3 linked regions of the Tribolium castaneum genome follow. The protein of the gene in region 3 binds, or shares a complex with, the protein of the main gene of each other region. Links are inferred from orthologs where the notes say so. Each region holds a gene or a part of one and is shown on either strand. Other genes may lie near its edges. The genes, in order: vir, Mettl3 and fl(2)d-associated complex component.

Region 1 (6,918 bases), on a different chromosome or scaffold from region 3:
CATGTCATTTTAGACCTTCAAAAGTTTAAATTATAAAAATAGTGAGTTCTAGCGTGCTATAACGTTCTCTAAAAAGGCAAAAGCCATCACCAGCAAATGTAATACTAATTTTGTCCCTCTTGGTATATGAACAGTCTACCGGCTGCTCAAAAACCGACGGTGCGTTGAGTTGGTGCAACTCAACGGTCTGTGGCTTCAATGCAGCTAAAGATAGTAAAAAAATTTTTTAAATTAAAATTATTGATAAATAACGAATTTTAAATAAATGATATGTGGCAACGTTGTCTAACAGTCGTGATCTTAATTCGGAAATAAAATTAACTTGACGTCCTCTGGTGATAACTTTTGAATTATATCGAAAACAGTAACAAAGTTTCAGTAATTACACATTTAATTGATATTTAATGAATTGTTCAACAATTTTGCGTGTATAGTGTTAATTGCTTACATTAGAGAAAATCACTTTAAAAGTGTATGATGGTAAATACTAGCTCTGACTTTGGTTCTGCGGTTTTTCGTGGTATAAAGTGTTTACTGTTGGAATTTGAAAGTGGATAAAAAGTGAAAAAGATTTAAATTTTGATTACAAAGTCTTATTAAACAGTTGTGTAATTAAAGACTATAAGTGATAGATTACAGCGAGCACATGTTGGGCTCAAGAAACCAATAAATTAGTGAAGTGTCTGAATTTTAGGTAGAATTTTTCCACTGAAAAAATCATGAAATACTTCTGTAAATCTACAAAACTACATTTAAGATTAACAACTGCTGATACATTTAAACGTAAATTATGCCAAAAGGTAGGCTTTTCACTGTCTTTGTAATAATTTTCCAATAAAGAAAGTGAACCAAACAGTCATTCGTTATTCGTGTTTTCCTCGTCATCTCTAATTTGTCAACATTCGTTTCTTACACCAAAGATACAATAGTCATTCCGCATAAGCATTGTAATAATTGTGAAGCCTCAAAATTCGTACAACGCTCAAAACATCTAAATAAACATTTTCCCGCCATTTATGGTTACTGTTTTCGACCTAGCTCAGTGGCGCCCCCAACGGTAATTTTACTTCCGAATATAATTTGATCAACAATAAAAATAAATTATTTTTGTAACGGTTTCCCAGGAAATAATTCCCAGTGTTGGCACATCTACAAATTGTGATTTTTTGACAAATTTAATTTTTTTAATTAAAAAAACTACTAAAGTATGATAGTAAATTTTAATATAATTATCCATCATTGTGCTAGGGATCGATTAATTATTATGAAACATAGCAACTTTAAAAAATAATGAACAGTGAAGAGATTAACAAAAGTTTTTAGCTGAAGATTTTCTAAAACATGACTTTAGGATTTTTTTCAAGATTTTTCCCGAAATCTACCCATGCTTCTCAACAACGTAACAGTGAGTTGGTGTGCCAGTTTTTGAACTCCCAGTATTTAGGAAAAATTTTTGAACTTTGGGCATTTAAATTTTGAAAACGACGAAAATACTAAAATAAAATACTTAATAATAAGTAAATTAGTAACGTTATGGTCGGCATTTTGAGGGTTATTTCGTAAAAAGAAAACAGACTCTCACTTATAAACGAGTTAAATTTAATGTAGCAGACCAAAAGAACGCCATTTTCGACACTCAGTAGAAATTTTTCGCCACATTAGAGGGATTATTCAGTAAAGTAAATAAGTTTTTAGCTCAAAATAACGTAATTCGCGACATAATTAACTAATTTTTCTGTCTGTTTTAACGCTGTTTCACAAAAAAAAGTTAGCAGTAAGCTAAAAATCATCCTTAGTAGGTCAAAACACTGACTTTCGTCATTTTTGGCGAAATATCGTAAAATGAGCTTATTACTCAAAAATATGATCTAATGAAAAAGACGAAAATAATGTCGTTGTCAACCCTTCCTTCGTGATTTTTAATACCATTTTGGGCTGAAAAACGTACTAACAAGCTCCATCTCCAAGTGAAGTTTTATCTAATTTGCTATGTTTATCTCATAAAAACACAAAAACCTCCTCAAAACTGCAGAAGCTGTCATGGTCACTGTTAATGTTTACAGCAAGTGGCCCTACACAGAGCGTCACAGTTCGTGCATTACATATTGAGATATTATTGTCTTTAGAATCCCTTACTGCAATCATCAACAATGGGCATGATAATCATTGCGGTTTTAGGCCCCAAAATTTGGGGAGGATTTTATCTTGTTGTGGTAACAAATTAAATAGAACTTAATTTTTGGAATTATTTGAACAAAAAAATATGTTTGAGCATTTGAAAAAGACAAAAATACAGGCTTAGTAGATGAAGGGGCAATGTAACTTTTTTTGAAAATTTTTGAATTTTGAAAATTTTACAAATATAGACTATTTTAATATCGTTTAATTAAAATATGCTTCACACATTCGTATTTTTCTGTAAAATTTCTTGTAAAAGTTAGTTGTTGCAAATTGGTTGAAGGGAGTATATACAATTAATTTGGTATTGTTCACTTACGGATCTAACTGCACACTATAAAAATAAATTAGTCTTATGTATGTTTTTTCCATTTCAAAAAAGATCATGCTCAAAATTTATGTACCTATAAAATAGTGTAACGTACACATTTAACTTAATTTTAACTGAAACTAACTATTTTCTTGTTTAACAAATACATACATGTTTAATAATAAATAATGATATATATATAATTTAGTAAAACCTAGCTAACATAACTGCAAATCTAATAAAGAATTTTTTCGAAATGAAACTTTGAAAGCACGTAAATAATTGTGTAAGTCAAAAAATCACAAATACATAGCCCCTTCAATTATTAAACTAGTTACGTCATTATTCGAGTTTTCGAGGGATTGCACAAATTAATTTCTCAATCTTATAATTTTAAAATTTTGCGGCGAATTAGAGAGAAGTTTCGCATAATACGTGAGTTTACAACTCAAAAGCACATAATTCTCGACTTAATTTGATAATTTTTTCGACGTGTTTCAATAAAATCATTCTGAACAGGACAAAAGAAGGACGATTTTGAGCTAAATTACAGTCAACTTAACTTAAATTAACGCTACAATAATTATTTTACTTTCAACCATTATTTGTGATTTTTACCTGTTCTATGGAATGCATGCAAAATACTACCTGAAATAACTAAACTTTTGGCTAGAAGTCATACCTTCTAACTTTGATCAGAACTTCATGAGAAAAGTAGGTTTTTCCCTTTTTTTTTTTTTAAATAAAAAAATAGTCACTTATAAAACGAGCTTTTAGCAAATTGGCTCAAAATAACATTTAAAAATAAAATTTTGGAAATTTTTAAGATGACAACAACAAAACTTGCTCTAAAAACTACCTCTTCAGTCTTCACCTGGTTTTCAATTCACGAACCGCAATTGCGTTTTGGGACCTACCTGATATCCCTCCCTGGTCCGTTCCCTGTCTCTATCCCGCTCTCTATCCCTGTCATTTTCGCCACTTCTGGGTCTCACCTTCGTGTCCCAATCTCCCTCAGGAGGGTGATGGTAACTCCTAGGGTCCTTAGGAACATCACTATAATACTCGTTGTATTCCTGAGGGTAATTCTCAGGCTGATTATAGCCCTGCTGATACGGGGCGGCATTCTGATTATATTCAATTGGAACACTTGTGATATTTTCCTGACTCCACTCATTTTCAATATTATTTCCTGAAATTATCTGCTGGGCGTCTGCTATAGTATTGGGCTGCGTTGGTAAAGCCGGATTCACAACAGGTTGAATAATTTGTTCAGTAATGTTATTAGTCAAAGTACCATAAACCGCTAGGGTGATGGTCGTGTACCACCCCCTCAAAACCAACCCATCTGTGGGTATTTTTCTAACAGTATCTTCCGGAACGCAGTTCAAATTGATACAACCGTTTTGATTATACTCGAACCCCCCTAAACTCTCAAAAGTACTCGCACCAGGCTTCCCCAAATCATTTACAAAAAACTCGATTTGAAACTGACTGGGGTTTGTAGCCCCCAGGCGGACGCCACCGGGGAAATCCGCTTGGACCCGAGCCCCCAGAGGAATAATACGAACTTCGGTTACATACACGGGTTTGGGGAACTGCACCAGATCCAAGTTTAGCTCCTAATTTACGAAACTCGTAAGCGAGGAAACAAAAGGCCGAAAACTTACCTCGGTGTTGTCGTGGGCAAAAGTGTCGAAAAAGAGCAATTCGACCACGTCTGACATTTTGGAAATGTTAGTTTTCCATATTTTTCACAATTACACGTAAAAACCACCGATAGTTTACAAAATTCGGAGGAAAAATGTGGTTAGCACACACAATAACAAACTTTTAGGTTATGTTTTGGAGACAGGTGCACCAACTTAACGTCATTTGAAAATGTAAATATACAAAAAACTTCTAATTCTATGAGCTTTCTACCGTTTATTCGCACTGTTTGTGTTATTTTCAATATTTAGCTTATTAATTTAGTCATATTTTAATAATACAGAGACGTTTATATAATTTATGTTATAGGTTATGAGATGTTTGGCTAAAAACAACCATCACATTTTTTTCATCAACGAACATGTCCAAAGCTTTAGGCACCGCTCTCGTGGGTTAGTTTCACCCCCTGTACCACGTACATAGTTAATACAGTGTTTAAGGGGGCGGTACGGGCTTCATAGGAAGTCACTTATGTAATGCTTTGAAGTCACAAGGGTATGGCGTTACCGTCATTTCCCGGATGCCGGGTCCCCAACGCATGACCTGGAACGACTTGAACCACGTCGGACTTCCCGAAGGAACAACAGCTGTGATTAATTTAGCTGGACAAAATGTCCTAGACATGAAACAGCGCTGGAACGCCGGCTTTAAACAAAACGTCTTCAACTCGAGAGTCAACACCACCTCATCCCTAGCTAAAGCAATTTCAAACGCGCAAAACAAACCCTCAGTTTTTGTGAGCATATCAGGAGTTGGAATTTACAAAGCAGATAAAGTCAGAGAATATGATGAAGCGAGTGTAGAACCCGAGTTTGATTTTTTCTCACGGCTTTGTCATGAATGGGAAAAGGCCGCCAAGCTTCCAAAAGGGCCTACTAGGCAAGTGACGATCCGTAGCGGCGTTGTTTTGGGGAGAAACGGAGGGATGATCAAACAGCTCTATTTGCCGTTCTTTTGTGGACTGGGGGGCCCTGTCATGCCAGGTGATCAGTACTTACCGTGGATACACATTGAAGATCTTACCGGACTGATTTTATTTGCACTCAAAAATGATAAAGTTGAAGGGACCCTGAATGGAGTGGCTCCACAAAATGTCACAAACAAGGAATTTTCAGACGTATGGCTTTGCAATTTTGGGTAAGTAATTTATTGAGTTTTTCAGGCTTTTGCTAAAGCTCTGAGACGTCCGGCTTTTTTTCCCGTCCCTAAGTTCGTCTTGAATGTTCTGCTTAGTGAAGAAAGGGCTAATATGCTGACTGAGGGACAAAAAGTCTTGCCAAAGAGGACAATGTCGTTAGGGTTTCAGTATAAATATCCTGATATTGCGTCAGCATGCCAGCAAGTTGTTACAAAAGAGTGAAACTTATTTATTGAAATGTTACAAAAATTAATAAAAAATTACAATTTAAGTGCCGTTATGAAATTTTCTCCCAACACGTATAAACAAGTATTTGAAGCATAAATCCCTAAAATTTCCTCGTTTGAAGGTAGACTGAAGACTTGTTGCTGTGCTAATGCGTTTACTCTTTTCCCAGTCGTTCTATTCCTTAACTGATTCAAACCGATGCTTTTATTTTGGCAATAAATAAAAATGTGTTTGGTCGATTCGCAAATAGCGGCGTAACTCAGGTCAGGAGAGGCCACAAAAAACTTCATTTGTTGTTTTGACGCCTAGAAAACCAAATCAGAAACATTATTCAAAGTCGGAGTACTAAAACTACAAGGCGAACCGAAATCAAAATCACCTAATTTTCTATAGCTAAAAAATTATGAATTATGAAATATATTATTATGAAATTATATTATTAGAAAACACCAACAAATTAAAAATTATTGCCCTGAAGAGCATCTCAGATGCAAAAACTAACGAGAAAACGTCGAGAATAAGTACTGTAAAAATGCTGTAATTGTAAAGAATCAAATTTCCTTTGAAAATTGCGCAACACCGAACACTCTATCTTCGACGGTTTTGTTCTTCCATTAAAGGTAGAGGCATTTGTGCGGAACCTTTTTTAAGAAAATTAATTCCATATTTTTATTAACTTCCAAATAAGAGCTAGAGAGTCAGAACGGATGCTCAAACATAAAAATATAGAAAATCAAGAATTAGATGAAAAAATTAAGGCAACAGATAAAATATTAATAATACTCCCTCCGTTCCATAACAAGTGTCCGATTTAGTTAATTAATACATTATTGAATAATGAAATTAAATGCTCAAAGATGTTATTTATTTAAATTAAGCATGGAAGGAAAAAGTAAAACTTGGAGCAGTTGCAATTTTTAAGGCTAATAATTATTATAGTGTTCTTGGCAAAAACTAGGTACCCTAAAAATGAAGAAAAAATACATTTATTAGTATCCGGCATCAAGGATTCTGCAATCTTTGCTCAAGTCCTTCCACAAAACTATAGACATTAAGCACATTAGTGATATATATTTTCATGTATCTTTAAAAACTTTTAATCGTATTTGGAATTTCAAATGCTTTCCTTATCCCTTTGCATATTTTTTATGAAACTGGATACTTATTTTAGAATGGGGTTACAAGTTAATTACGAGAGAATAAAAAAAATGTGTAAAAAAACAAAAATATCCTAATATATCTGAATCCGAGAATGAAGATGTACACAATTACGTGTCTGACAAATCGCTTACACAAATTTATGAGTTTATGACGAATCAAAAGAAAATGAACTTAAAACGATGTATTCTAAAAA
Region 2 (7,103 bases), on a different chromosome or scaffold from region 3:
CTATTAATATTTTAATGTTTTATTCTTGCTCTTGAATCACCCTGTATATGAAACAATATAAAGTTAGTAAAGCATTTTTCCAGAATATCAATTTTTTAAGTTCCACTTTGACCAACATAATTTTGTTAGAATATTTATCCTGATAAGTATTTTTTTGCCACTGACCTCGAAGATGATATCCTGATAGCCATAGCACAAGGTGCTCCCGAACGGATTGGTCGTATTAGTGGAGCTAGCCCTATTTAAGACAACCGGTCGTTCACTTGGCGTCAGTTGTTTACAGATATCGTCCCAATGGCAGTAGGCGTCGATATCGGCGCCATTCAGCGCCAACTTAAATTCGCATCTCATGTAAATGTTGAAATTGTAATGGCCTGGATAATTCGTATGCATGACCAATTTTTTCACCAAATGCGAACGGGCATCGAACAGGACGTCCTTGATGAGAAAAAAAATCAAGTATGGGACACCTACACGGGAAAGGAAACTATTACCAATCCCAACGTGAAATAATTGAAGAAATAGTCGCTCTTAGTGTCGGCGTCGCGACGCAGGGCGTTGGGGGTGTGAATCCGCATTTTGTCCTCACTTTTATAGAAGACTTCATTGGGGGCCCCTAAAGCCGTGGCCACGTCTTGGGCCGTGTGCCCCAAGAGGATCTCACGGTCGAATTGGATTTTTGAGTCCATTCGACGGTTGTTTGAGCCTAAAATAGGCTTAATTCAAACGATGATTCAACTTTTGCGGGTCAAGCGTTAAAATAAAGGGTTAACACAACACAAAATTAGAGCGTTAGAATCAGAGAGGACTAAAATAGGCGGCGATTTACGTACAAAAAAAATATGAGTTTATTTCTTCGGCTTATTATTTTTGAGAATTAATTAAAAAAAATTGTCATATGCTCCTAATATTTCAGTCCCCCTTGTTATAATAAAGAAAAAAGCGCGAAATCGTTTGAAACTTACTAAACCTCATCTCTTTTACCGGCCTAATTAATTTGTTCTTATTGGTAATAACCGTGCGGTTAACTAAAATATTGAACATTCCGTTTACAATAATTCATCCAGAGAATCAATTTTCGTGATTAGTTTGACACACACCTGCAAGGAGGCTGAGCTTGACTCCTCTGGTGTAGCACTCGCCCCTCAAAATTTCGGCCTTTTGGAGGTACAATTGGCCGTGGTAACAAGACAGGGGCAGTTCGGGGGCGCAGGCCTGCTCGATATTTGAGCCGTAGTAAATCGTCATGCGTGACACTAGCGGGGAACTCCCTGGGGGGAATTGGAGAGAACCTGTTATTTCACGTAACAAATAAACTTGACACTGGATATTACCCCGGACCGGCTTACCCAGATTATGGGTGTTTCCAGACTGGAATTTTGATTCGACTGGAAAATAGAACGAAAGTCCCCGAAAATTCAATATGAATAGCTCCTTCTCCGAATCATATACTCCTGGATGAGTGGCACCGAATGAGTGTTCAATTTGTTCGATTGATGGCAGTACTTCTGGCGAGTTAAATGGGAGGTTACTGGAATAACAAATGAGAAAAAAGAACGTAGGGCTAAAACGTTACCAGTATTTTAACTTGACTAATTTCATACAGTATATTTCGATTATTTTTAGCCGCTGTGAAATGGGGTCAAAAAATAATCTAATGCCGTCCTGGGGTAAATTAAGAACGAGGTCTATGTCTAAAGGGTTCTGAAAAATCGTTAGTGAGTGTGTGGTTTGGGGCCGCTCTTTCTTACAGTATCGTTATAGAGGACTTGTACATTCTTTATGTTGCCCACTTGGGACTGAATAATTGCAATAGCCTGGGAAAAATGCATTCCTGAAAAGAGAAAATTCGAAATTACATTTTGAAGGTCGCCAACCAATTAGCGTTACGTAAAATGGGTCAAATTTCCATTCAGTGTTGGCCGTCACATCGCCCCATCGCAAAAACGATGTCAACCATGTTACGCGCAATAAAAATAATAGAGAAAAGGGAAACCCACCTACAATAAACTCCCACTGTTCACAGCCCAAAGAACGTTCAGGAACAACGTTGAGCGTCAGCATTTTCCGCAATCAATAAAAACCAGTCTTTAATCAACAATAATACACAACAAGCAACAAATCAAAACTGTTTATTCTTTTTCTCTTAAATCGAACGATCCTTTGTCTAAAAACTCGTAAAACTTCCAAGCGCCATCTTGTCAAACCTGACATCTGTCAAAATCAGCTGATGCCCCCCCAACTCCACGCGATTAAAGACACTAAACCACCAGTCAATAAGGCAAAAAGTCGCCACCACTCCACCAAAACATAAACAAATTAATGGGTCGTGTCACCGGGGGGCCCCATACAGTTCCCCGTGGGGTAGCGTTTCTTGAAATTCTCGATCAGTTCTGCGTCGACCAGCTTGATCCCGTCCACTTGGTTCCCCAAAGTGATCCAGTTGGGCTGGATGTTGTGGGGGCGCCCGAACAGCTCGATTTTGCGCGTCCCGGGCGAGAGTCGCTCGATCATTCCGTAGATTTCGTCCGGTTTGTGGCTCGTGGCGCGCACTTCGGCCACGATCACGTCCGAGTCTAGTCCCCGGTTGAGGTTCTGGGGGTTGCCCTTCATGCCCACGAGACAGTGCTCCTTGCCGTGGTTCAGCCAATGGCCGGTGCGCCCCGTCCTGATAATGCGCTGCAATTGGTTCGTCTTCACCCAGATTATTTCGTCAACGCGCTCGTAGCCCCACAATTGGAGGCACTCGCGGCCCAGCTCCATGGCACGGCCTGTCACCCACAGGAAAATCAGGCCCTCGTCTTGCAGCTGGGGGATCCCCAGCTGACGCATCTCGTCGTCGGACATGGTCCCATAGGGCAGCTCCATGTGGATGTCCCAGGGGGGGTCCGCCATTATCACGGCGAATTTTCCTAAATTCAACCATTAATATTTTCGGAAATGTCGGGGAAAAACAGTTATTTAAAAAAATCATCGTTCTCCGACAGTTTTCGAGATAATTGCAAAAAAAATAAAAAAAAATAAAATGAAAAAAATTCGTAACTTAAAAACTACTGGGTATTTGGCGATTTTCTCGTCACCAATCGATTCCCCGGATTATTTTACATTGATTTCCATCAAAATTGTTCCACTTTTTTGAATAGTTTTGCCATAATTGAGCTGAAAAATGAAGGTAGCCATTTCAAGAGGAATTTTTAATTCTACAACAAAAAAATTTATAACTCAAAAGCTAAAAGTCGTAGAGCAAAACGGTTTGTTCCAGTGAATTCTGGGCTCATTTGACGTATTATGGCAGCTTTTCACAAGATTTTAAATTTTGGAAGTCACGACCAAACGCAAATATTATTAAGACCGACAAACAAACCTAAGACAGTCATGTCGAGATAGCGCAGGTCGCACTGCACCCACTGCGGGGGGTACAAGGTAGTGCTTTCTTTTGGGGCCACTGAGACGGCGGTGGCGGCCGGGGCTACGCCCTCCGTTTGCCCACAGCGATCGACTTCATAGTGGACGTATTTACAAGTGTCCATGTGGAAACAAGTGTTAAGGAAGGAACAATCCCCTAAAGCTTCGTCAGTGTGTTTTTGTATGATTTTTTTAAAATGCAATTTTTTGCAGTCTGTGATTCCGTTTCGTTCGCAGTCGGCGCGAGTCCCATGGGGGCAAAACTCCATCAGTTGTTTGCCCCCTTGAGACCTGAAGCGCTCGGCCAGCGAACGCTCTTTGGCCGTTGGTTTACTCAACAGATCTAGAATTTCTTCGCCCAGTTTTTTACTCTCTTTTTCTTTCGTTGAGGGCATTGATAGTAAAGACTAGGGAAATTAATTAATTAAAAGGACAGAATCAATCAGTTAATTACCATGATGTCAGCTTTTGGTTCCTTCTTCTCTTTTTTCCTCTTCTCTTCGTCTTCGTTTTTCTCCGAGTCGTTTCGCTTCCGCTTCAGGGATTCCCTCACCCGTTCAGGCAAAAACTCCGCAATCATTGCGTTAACTTTAGTCACATCGATAAAAGTCACTTCGACCACGTTCTTCCCCTCTTTGACTAAATCCTTGATAGTGATCAACTTCTGAGTTGAGAATTTTTGCAACAAATTGCAAACTTCCTTATGTGAGGCATGTCGCTTCAAAGTCAATTTCAACGAATCGACCAATTCCGTCGAAGTTGTGGGGATCTGAAGAGTGACTTCGCTCAGCGCCTTCAACAACTCTTTCTCCAGCTCTGGGTCGATTTTCACCAAATCGATTTCACCCTCCTCTGGTCTTTTAACATCTTCGCCCCCAACACCACCCGCATGGGGGCTGTCGGACAGGTGCACAGGTGACGAGTTGAGACTCGAACCAAGGATGTCCTGCCGCTCCTTCTTGCGCTTTTCCAGGCGTTCGCGCAGGATGTTCCGCTTGCTTTTGATAGCTTGGATCTCTTCCCAAGCGTCCGACATTTCAAAAGACTATTTTCCGCCAAAAAAACACAACTAACACATGTTTGAGGTTACGGCTAACGCTAACTAACACAACCTCAACTCTTTGGTTATGTTCTTTCGGTTTCGTAAAATTGGGGCAAAATGAGTAAAAGACAGGCGTTGCAGTTGTATAAAGCTCTGATTCGCGAGTCGAAGAAGTTTCCGGCTTATAACTTCAGGTAAGGGCGTTTTTGCAAACGATTTTTTCATTGGGGGTTGTAGACACTATGCCTTAAGGAAGATAAGGGACAGTTTTCGGGAAAATAGACAATTGACTGACCAGGACGTGATTAGGCAAAAAATGGATGAAGGAGTTCGTAATTTAGATGTAATTAAAAGACAGGTATTCACAATTAATTCGTTTAGGGGTTAATTGACGTAATTATCTCCAGGTGGTCGTAAGTCAATTATATAGCACCGAAAAACTGGTTATTGAGCACGTGAGGGCCCAAAAAAACTAATTTGTAAGGTTTGTAATGGTTAGAAATAATAAGAGTAATTGTTTGATTTTTTATTTCTTCTTATCAATTGACTTGACTAAGCCTTTTCCCACAATATAAAAGTCTTCAATCAACGCATCCACGTTCAGCTCCAATTTTCCATTCACAAGTTTCCTCCCGCTTGCATAAGACACCTAAAAATAAATGTAATAAATCAAAAAACATCTAAAAATCTCACCTTGAAGTCTCGACTTTCCAAAGCTTTAGGTATCCACAAAACCCCGATAAAATTACCTCCGTACGTATCGTGGAAAAAATTGGCAAAATCGCCGTAATGTTTGCGCAGTTCGGCCAAATACAACTGAACTGGGTTAAAGCCAGTGACTGGAATTTTCGTGCTTTCGTTTCTGTTAAATTCCTCCAAAACAATTTGCCCCTCGGACTCGTCCCCAGTGACTTGTTCGTGTCGTACGGGGTTCAAAAGGGGGCGCAAGTGAATAATAACATCGTACCCCTCAAGATTCGGAATAAACAAGCTTTTAATTGAACCAAAACTCTCTCCTTTGATGATTTGCCCAAAACAATTCAAAGACTCACTTGCCAGTTGTTTGACCCTCCGCAAGACCAACTTCGAGGGCCCCCTTTTGGTAAAAACAGACTCACAGCCGTCGTACGGCATTGCGATAAATAAATCGGGCAAAGCCTCGCGATTTTGGAGGAGTTTCGAGTCGATTTCTGCAAGTGTCTCACTTGCAATCTCATTGTTGAAATTGACCACAACCGCCTGAATATCGCACTGAAGCTCGCTAACAAATTTCAAAAATCGCAAAAAGCCAACTTGGGGGGTCACCGAAGCCCCCTTGAGAAACAACGAAGCGTTGAGTAAATTAATCACGTGGTCGGGAAAGTGGTAGTCGTCAATGAGTTGTGACCTTAGCCACCGTTTGATAAGGGCGGTGCTAGGTCCAAAGCTCGGAAACTGTGATTGGATGCCTTTAAGAGCGCCCGTAACACGTGGCAAAATCCCCAATTGCAATTCGATGTCCCGGCTCATGGGCGTGTCCTTGTACGTTGTCACGCCGTTATTGGTCGACTCGCGCTTCAGAAGCCCCACCTCCCGGGGCAGGTACAGACGGTACCTGAAGACGTAACCTTCGTACAAAACGTCGAGAAATTCCGGCTTGACGCTTGCTACGATCTTGTGCTTCTTGTCCAATTGTTTGGCGATTTCTAAATAGAAGGCGGTTTTCATATGTCGAATGGCGGTCAAGTTCTTCGGCCATTTTGAGCTGTGTTCTGTAAATTAATTACCAAACTGTGGTTTAACCAATTGTTAATTACCTAATTGCAAGACACACTCGATTGGTTTGACGTATCTTGGCACAATCCCGCGTTTTTTCTCGTTGAGGACTATATTATTTTCCAGGGGCGGAGTTACTAAACTTCCGCTCCTGTAATTGGTCGAAATTGGCGGGAATACATCGGTGAAACTGAAAACATCGGTGATTCCCTGCACTCCGGTGATTGCCAACGGCATTTCGAGACTTCGCAATTTTTTGCCTAATTCGTCACTCGCTGCGATTGCTCGCACACAGCCATCCTCATTGGTTGCGGTGGGGTAGGGGGCGGTCACTTTCTTATTAACCAATAGCTCTTCAAACTCGTCGTAATGAAGCGAATACTCCAAGCCCAGTTTTTTACAAATGACCCAATCAACAATAGTTTTAATTATTTCGCGCCTTTGTTTGATTGTTTGGGTCTCGAAATAAACAGCAACACACACAGAACCGTCCTTGAAACGCCGATCAGTGGCCAAATCGCCCCAAAATTCCTTAAACTCCCGCTCTTGAGGGTCATTAAGAGCTGGGCCTTTTTCCAAAATGTGAAACGCATTACTTTGGTCTAAGTTAATCCCAAAGGTGATTTTATCGACTTGGCTTTGTGTTGTTACTATGGGAACGATGAGTGTTGCGCGCTTGTTTAACCCCTTTTCTAACACACCCTGTATATATTTTATAACGAACAGTTCCGGGTGACCCAAAAATTTCGTCCGCTCATCGTCGGTCATTTTCTCGCCGATTTTTGCGACTTTAACGTTCAGAATCAAATCGTACTGAAGCTCGAGTGTTAATTTCGTGATAAAAAGCGAATGGAACGAATTTATCCCTCCGTCTAGGAGTTTAAACGCGATTTCGCACTCA
Region 3 (6,841 bases):
CATCCCTGCGCTCAACCGATTTTCTTCGTTCAGGGGTGCGTTCCCTTCGGTCTCTTTCCCGACGATCGCTCGAATGTTTACGACTCGGAGGCACTCGATCTTCAGGCAATGGTAATAAGCGTTCGACTCTATCACTTGAAGGTTTATCAAGTCCTCGATCTTCACGTCGACTTCGTTCACGTCCTCTCCTTTCTTCCTCTTTCTTTGCGAGCTCCTTGAGACGTTCACGTTCACGCTGACGCTCCTGGCAACGGGCCAGTGCTTCTTCGCGTTCTTTTTCACGCGCTGCTTCACGTTCTTCACGCGCAAGACGACGTTCACGCTCACGTTCACGTTCACGATCGCGCGAATCTCGCTTGTCTTTGCGCGATTTGTCGTCGCTCGGACGGTCCTTGGCGCGAGGTCTGAAAGACGAAGAAATAAAATATTAACAAAGTTAAACAAACTTTAAAAATAGCGAATTCAAACGAACAAAACTCTAGCGGATTACGTACAACCTAAGAAATTGTCTAAGCTTTGTCATTTTTGATTGTGAGTTATTTATCATTGGGTGAGTTCCATGCTTCTTGATAAATTCTAAAATGATTACTCGGTATTATATAATTTCTCTCACGTCTACCCATCATTTTTCAAATAGTCAGAATCAATTGTTAAAAAGTATGTAATTTCAAAGGTAGGTGATAAATATAATACTCATATTTATCATTTAAAAATTGTTTCAGCGACAATAAATTGTGAAGAAAAGTTTGTGTTACCAGATAAAATATCACTCAAGTTAAATAGACGTAAAAATTAAGTTTAAGAAAAAAATTACTATCATAAAGTTCGACACTGTGTAGCAAAAAATTAATCACATGCAAAGGAGTAGAAATACTAAAGGAATAATAACAGTTATTGTTTTATTATTATTTACTGTTATTGTAGTTGTTGTTTATTTTTTATTTTATAATAAAATTTTAAAATAAAATTTCTGCTAAATAAAGCAAACGTGGATTACCAAAAAAATATGTTACACTTTGAAATGGTTTTTAGAAAAATTACTCCCCATTCTTCCAACAAATAATGTAATTGTAATGGACACTGCAAATCACCATTCGGCAAAAACGAAATAACATCGAATAAATTTTCCAAAAAGAAGAAATTCAAAAATTTCCATTTTTTTAAGAAAGTTTTTTTTTCCCCAATCATTGCAACTTTAATCCGATCGAGTTGATATGTGAGGAAGGTGAAACTTTGCGAAGAAATAAGTGAAATAACACTTCACTAAAATTTTATTGTGCCAGTACTCATTAATTATGGAAAAAAATTCAAAAATATCTTAGGTACATCAACGAACAAAACTGAGTAAAACACGTTGTTCGTAAAAAACCAGAATAAGAAAATTGGAAAAAAATTAGAAAAAATACTGCCTTAACAATTTAAAGTTTTTTCAAAGATTTAAAATTACAAAAAATACATTGAAAGAAGATATTAATGAAAGAAATGTTTTAGAAAACAAAGATTTTTTTGCATAAAACGTAAATGCTGATTACCAATCACAGAGCATTCTGTCAGGTTTATGACCTTTGTTCTTTAATTTTTATTTCCAATCCCAAGAGCTTCATTTTTTACTTTTTTTTGCTTACGTTTTTTTCTGTGTTTTTTTTTAATTGTAAAGAACTTCATAATTGTTTTTATTATTAATAGTAGCATAGTATTTAGTTAATATAAATAATAGTTAATGATTGCAAAGTTAAGCTAACTGTGAAACCTAAGTATACCTATAAAATTCTGAAACGGCTTCATTTAACTTATTAATTGGAAATGTACTTCACAATTTTTAAGCTAGTTATAACAACACTAAAAAAAACTTAAGTTAACAGTGATACCATCCATCAAAACTTTTAGATAAAATCAAAAATTATGTTAGCCAAACAAGTATGTATTTAAAAGGTGAAAACATCTTCAAAATTGTTAGAATTTCAAAAAAAACTGAAAAGGTGGATAGTTCAGTAGACAATGATTTAGGTAAGGGTTCAATAAATTTGGCAGTATCAAATTGAAGCATTCTAGATTTATTTACTCCAAAATAAAGCTAACTTTTGGGAAATTGTTTTATTTTATTATTTTCCACAATCATAGGTACCATAAATACCAACACTAAAACTTTTAGCCTGCATTTAAAAAAAAAACGCAATTTAAAGAGTGATCTTCAAACCCATCTTTGTGGGAAAGCCCCGAATATTTTTTTTCTTCTTCTAAATTTAGACTTCTGAAGTGATTCTCTACAATGCTCTGAACTATGGATTCGCCAATTTTGAGACACTCTGTACGTGTAAAATCTCTGAGCAGTTCAAGATAGAGGAAACTTTGAATTTGAGATTACACTCCACAGGAAGGTCAAAAGAAACATTTAAATGTGAGATTTTTGGAAACATTAAATCAAAGCTAGAATTTCTAAAAATAAAAATAATAATATGTAAAAGTTGAAGAAAATAAAGTGAAAATGAAACATTAAATGAAAGATTTTCGTCTTTTGATGAATACGAAAGCAGTGATAAACAAAAAATAGAAAGTGCTATTTAAAAGAAACATAATACATAACTAACATTGCTTTGAACTTCTTTCTCGCATATACAATATACAGTGCAATGCAAGGGGGAATCTGCTAAAAGCGTATCTTCAATGAAGACAGTTCTAACAAAATTTTAAAAAAACTTACGCTTTTATGATTTATTGTTTAAAAAACAGTTCGTTTCTTACCTATCCTTATCGTCCTTTTTATCCCGACTTCTCTCCTCCTTGGGCGGCGTCCCCTTGTGATCCCTTCGACTGCTCCCCGTGCTACCTTTAGACCGACTTGGTGAGCCCTTCTTATCCCTTGAATGCGACGAATCTGGAGTATCCCTCTTCTTAGTGTCTTTCGTCGACCTGCTGTCCCGTTTCGGCGACCTTGACTCTTTCTTTTTATGGTCATCCTTCTCCCTATCTTTCTTGTTCCTTTCCTTCTCCTTTTCGCGTTCGCGTTCCTTCTCCCGCTCCCGCTCTCTTTCCTTTTCCCTCTCCCGTTCCTTCTCCTTTTCCCGTTCTTTCTCTTTTTCTTTCTCCTTCTCCTTTTCTTTAGGTTTGGGAGAGGGCGTGTGGTGTTTCTCCTTACGGTCGCTTGACCGACTCGTGGGCCTTGGGGACTTTGCTGGGGGGAGCCCCGGCTTGATTTTGGGGGGCGGTGTTTGCGACTGTTTCCGACTGCGTTGCGGTGTTGGAGACTTGGCTTTTGGGGCTGTTTTAGTTGTTTTTTTAGTTTTGTCGGTGCGTTGTGACGATTTTGAGGATGTTCGTTTCGTTTTTGGTTTCTTTTTCGGGGGGCGCTCCGATGAGGATGAGGAGGAGTCGCGTTTGGTTTTGGTTTTTTTACTCTTCTTCCGACGCGTTTCTATGGACGAGGAGCTGCTGGAGGTGGAGTCGTCACTTGAGGAGGACGAGTCCGAGGATGATGACGAGCTTTCGGTCGAGGGGCTGCTCTCCTTCTTGGTTTTCTTGTCCTTTTTCCGGGCTTTGTTCTCCATTTTCATTTGTAGTTCGAGTTCTCTTTGCAGTTCTTGCCGGCGCTTTTCTAGATCATCAGGGTCGGCGTCGGCTAGTTCCTCCGGGTCCCAGTGGTCCCAATCCTCGTCTGGGTTTCCGGGATGGACCCGTTTATTTGCATTGTCCTTGCGCTGGGTCTTGGCCGCCCGTTTCGAGGGGCTGATCAGGGTGTGGGTGGAGGAGTACTTGCAGCCTTTTCCGTAGGGGCAGGTGCCGCTCTGGGCCCAGTGGTGGCAAAAGTCCTGGCTGGTGCTGGCTTTGGTGCCCAGACGCTCGAACACGCTGGGGCGAGGCTTCGAGACTTCTTTGCTTTTCGGAGTTAGGTTCACGGTTATTTTGCGCTTGACCTGTTTAGACATTTTCACTCAGAGTTCGCGAGGTGAGGAGGAAAAATTGCGAAGCACTTGACGCTACCATATTTACGTTTGACGTTGCCGGCATGGGAGACTGTGGGCTTATCGGCTAGGGGCCTCCTTACATCATGCCGCACAGATGGCGCCCAAAAAACACAATTTCGACTTGCAAACGCCCGATGGACACTTTTTTGATCAATCAAACGAGATTTTAGCCAATTCCCAAAAAACTGGAACGATTTGTTTTGCAAAAATGTAGCCACTTGACAGGTGATAGTTTTTTGACATTTAACAGACAACACCAGTGGCGGTCTCAACCTGAAATTTTACGGGAACAAAAATTTTAAAACTCAAAATCTGTCGATAATGTACACTTTATTATGATATATTTTTGATTATGCCCCACTTGCGAATGATTTAGATATTAATTTCGTAGTTTTGGTCTGTTTCAAATTGTTTTTATTTATTGACAAAAAGTCAGTAGCGTCGCGGCCAACATTTCAACAGGAGCAAAAATATTAAAAGCACTGTTTAAAGACCAATTTTCCATTAAGCAGCTTTCGCATTTTTAGTTCAATCAGTGATAAAGGCACATTTAATTAAATTAATCAAAATTCGTAATGTGGTCTTCAAACAAAAAGAGAGGTTATGTTGACAGTTGTTTGTGTTGTGTTATTGTGTAAAGGAAAAATAGAAATGTAACACTTAAAAAATGTTCAATTCCTGCGACAAACAGAGAAATGATTAACGATGTACGCCCCCAAAAAACCTAAACTACGATTTTTGTTAAAACTTGGAATTTTAATTGCTGCGTTATTAGTTGTTTATTTTACGTTTTTTCATTACAATTCCGATGGTTCTGCTAACGATGCAACATTTTTGTTGCCATTCAAAAAGCCTAAAGAATACAATGTCTGGTTGATATTTACTAAAGTCTCTCAAAGGTCGCCGTTAAGATATAAATTCCACAACTTGTTGGAGAATATTTTAAACATAAGTTCTGTTCCTTTAAAGTTCCATATTATTGTTGATAATAGCTCAAAGCAATTAGCAGTAGGTGAAATATCAGATGTGGTGTCGCATTCGAATAAAGCAATATTTTATAAATTTTATGATGTTGAAGCGTGTGCAAGAGCGATTAGTGATATTGTCGACGTTATGACCCCTCATTTTAGTTCAAAACCGGGTAAAAAGGCTTACTTTTTAATTGCACTATTACTAGTTTTGACTTCAGGTACTTACTACAGCGACGCACTTTTCTATATTTCTTTGGGGCTGTATCGGATAGCCCCACCTTCCCAGCGAACTGCCCTTCTACTAGACTGTGATTTATACTTTAAGAAGGATATTCGATTAGTGTTTGAGGAGTTTGACAAGTGAGTTTATGAAATTTCTTATTCTGGTCAAAGTGACCTGTGACTGACATGAAGTCATAGATCACTTTGATCGGAATTTAATTCAACTGTTTGATAGGTTTAAGCCAACTGCGCTTTTTGGTTTGGCCCCCGAGCTGACTCCAGTCTACCGTCACGTCCTCCAAACCTATAAAGTGAAAAAGAACTCAACATTCGGAGAATATTATCATTCCAAGGCGATATCGAGCAATATGCAGCATCCTCGTGGCTTCCAGGGCTATAATTCCGGTGTTGTTTTGATTAATTTAAGTGCAATAAGAAAATCAAAGGAATATTCCCAAATTATCAGGAATGAAACTGTGCAATATCTCACGTCCAAATACAAATTTCGAGGTCATTTGGGTGACCAGGATTTTTATACTTTGATAGGGTTTGAATATCCTGATTTGATTCAAACCATAAATTGTGGTTTCAATCGCCAATTGTGCGTCTGGTGGCGAGAGCATGGCTACCGTGATGTTTTTGATTTTTATTTCAAGTGTCAACACCCCGCTGTTATTTTACATGGAAATTGCAACACGAAAATTCCAAAATAAATTAAAGACTGGTCATCTATTCGTGGAATCTCTACACGTCCACTAGTAGTTTTGGGAAAATTTGAGTTGGCAGCATTGGTTATTGCCAATCAAACAATCATGTGGTATGACCCGGTATATTAGGTACGAGTGCATTACTGGGTTGTGAAAGTACTCATTTATTTTCTTGTTTGTAAAACAGTATTTTTCAAAAATAAACAGTTTTTTATTTTTCGATTTGTTTTCTTAAGAATTGAAAAAAAATCCCATGATAGTCGAAATACATGTATTTAAATCTATAGATCGGTTACAATATAGGAATACAACAGGAAACATTCGAGTAATAAAACTTCGTATTCAGTGAGTTATAAATAGTGAATTTAAAAATTCAAAAATTGCAAAGCACTGGGTTCATTATTACAGTTTGTAAGCCTGTCTCATCATTAGGTCGAAATAGCCGTCATTGTCGATCGAGGCACTGATGGCCGAATAATAATTAAAAAATTCTTCGTGGGTTACCTACAGAAATTAATTAAAACTTTTGTTCAATCTTCATTAACCAACCTGTCCGTCTTTGGTGGCGTCCTGTTCAAAATTTGCTAGAAATCGTTTCAGAATATTTTCCTCAGTTTCTTCGCCTGAAATGTATCGAGGATGGGCTTTGACGTTGTAAACATTTTTCAAATCGTCTATTGTGATCACTCCGTCTCCCGTTTTGTCCATTTTCTTGAACGCTTCTTCAACGACTTTCTTGCGTGACTCAGACATTGGGGGCTGGAATAAAATATTCAGAAACTAGGTCACAAGCAACAAGTCCTTGATCTAAGTAGTGTTTACGCGAAATGTGGTCGCTTATTTACTGAATTTAAGAGTCTTGGAGCTTTGTGTATTGATGATTTAATGACAAATCATTGGCGAATAATTTGGAAAAGTAAGGTGTTTCATGTTTTAACTTCGTATGAAATGATTTATGAAACTTTTTCAATCAATATTA

What was found.
Region 1: fl(2)d-associated complex component (region 3) and vir share a complex: the UniProt entries of both Drosophila melanogaster proteins name them as parts of the WMM complex. The link is inferred for Tribolium castaneum from reciprocal best matches to the Drosophila melanogaster genes Flacc and vir.
Region 2: fl(2)d-associated complex component (region 3) and Mettl3 share a complex: the UniProt entries of both Drosophila melanogaster proteins name them as parts of the WMM complex. The link is inferred for Tribolium castaneum from reciprocal best matches to the Drosophila melanogaster genes Flacc and Mettl3.

What each region holds. Positions count from the first base shown.
Region 1 is NC_087394.1:22,053,986-22,060,903, reverse strand, and holds the start of vir (protein virilizer), read right to left. Parts: upstream 4,300-6,918; 5' UTR 4,216-4,299; coding exon 4,159-4,215; intron 4,111-4,158; coding exon 3,406-4,110; intron 1-3,405. Other genes in the region: epimerase family protein SDR39U1, read left to right, coding at 4,560-4,590, 4,639-5,315, 5,361-5,558; nudC domain-containing protein 1, read right to left, coding at 5,597-5,869. UniProt on the Drosophila melanogaster protein: Associated component of the WMM complex, a complex that mediates N6-methyladenosine (m6A) methylation of mRNAs, a modification that plays a role in the efficiency of mRNA splicing and is required for sex determination.
Region 2 is NC_087396.1:23,066,028-23,073,130, reverse strand, and holds Mettl3 (N6-adenosine-methyltransferase catalytic subunit), read right to left. Parts: upstream 4,442-7,103; coding exon 3,860-4,441; intron 3,813-3,859; coding exon 3,365-3,812; intron 2,913-3,364; coding exon 2,320-2,912; 3' UTR 2,116-2,319; downstream 1-2,115. Other genes in the region: PHAF1 protein CG7083, read right to left, coding at 166-438, 495-706, 966-1,028, 1,101-1,292, 1,350-1,531, 1,577-1,704, 1,752-1,834, 2,001-2,064; protein bcn92, read left to right, coding at 4,565-4,641, 4,685-4,805, 4,855-4,923; Mat89Ba (nucleolar protein 6), read right to left, coding at 4,974-5,096, 5,141-6,198, 6,244-7,103. UniProt on the Drosophila melanogaster protein: Catalytic component of the WMM complex, a complex that mediates N6-methyladenosine (m6A) methylation of mRNAs, a modification that plays a role in the efficiency of mRNA splicing and is required for sex determination.
Region 3 is NC_087398.1:11,171,162-11,178,002, forward strand, and holds the start of fl(2)d-associated complex component, read right to left. Parts: upstream 4,187-6,841; 5' UTR 3,924-4,186; coding exon 2,743-3,923; intron 405-2,742; coding exon 1-404. Other genes in the region: Xxylt (xyloside xylosyltransferase 1), read left to right, coding at 4,668-5,103, 5,152-5,293, 5,391-5,868; calcyphosin-like protein, read right to left, coding at 6,265-6,366, 6,412-6,621. UniProt on the Drosophila melanogaster protein: Associated component of the WMM complex, a complex that mediates N6-methyladenosine (m6A) methylation of mRNAs, a modification that plays a role in the efficiency of mRNA splicing and is required for sex determination.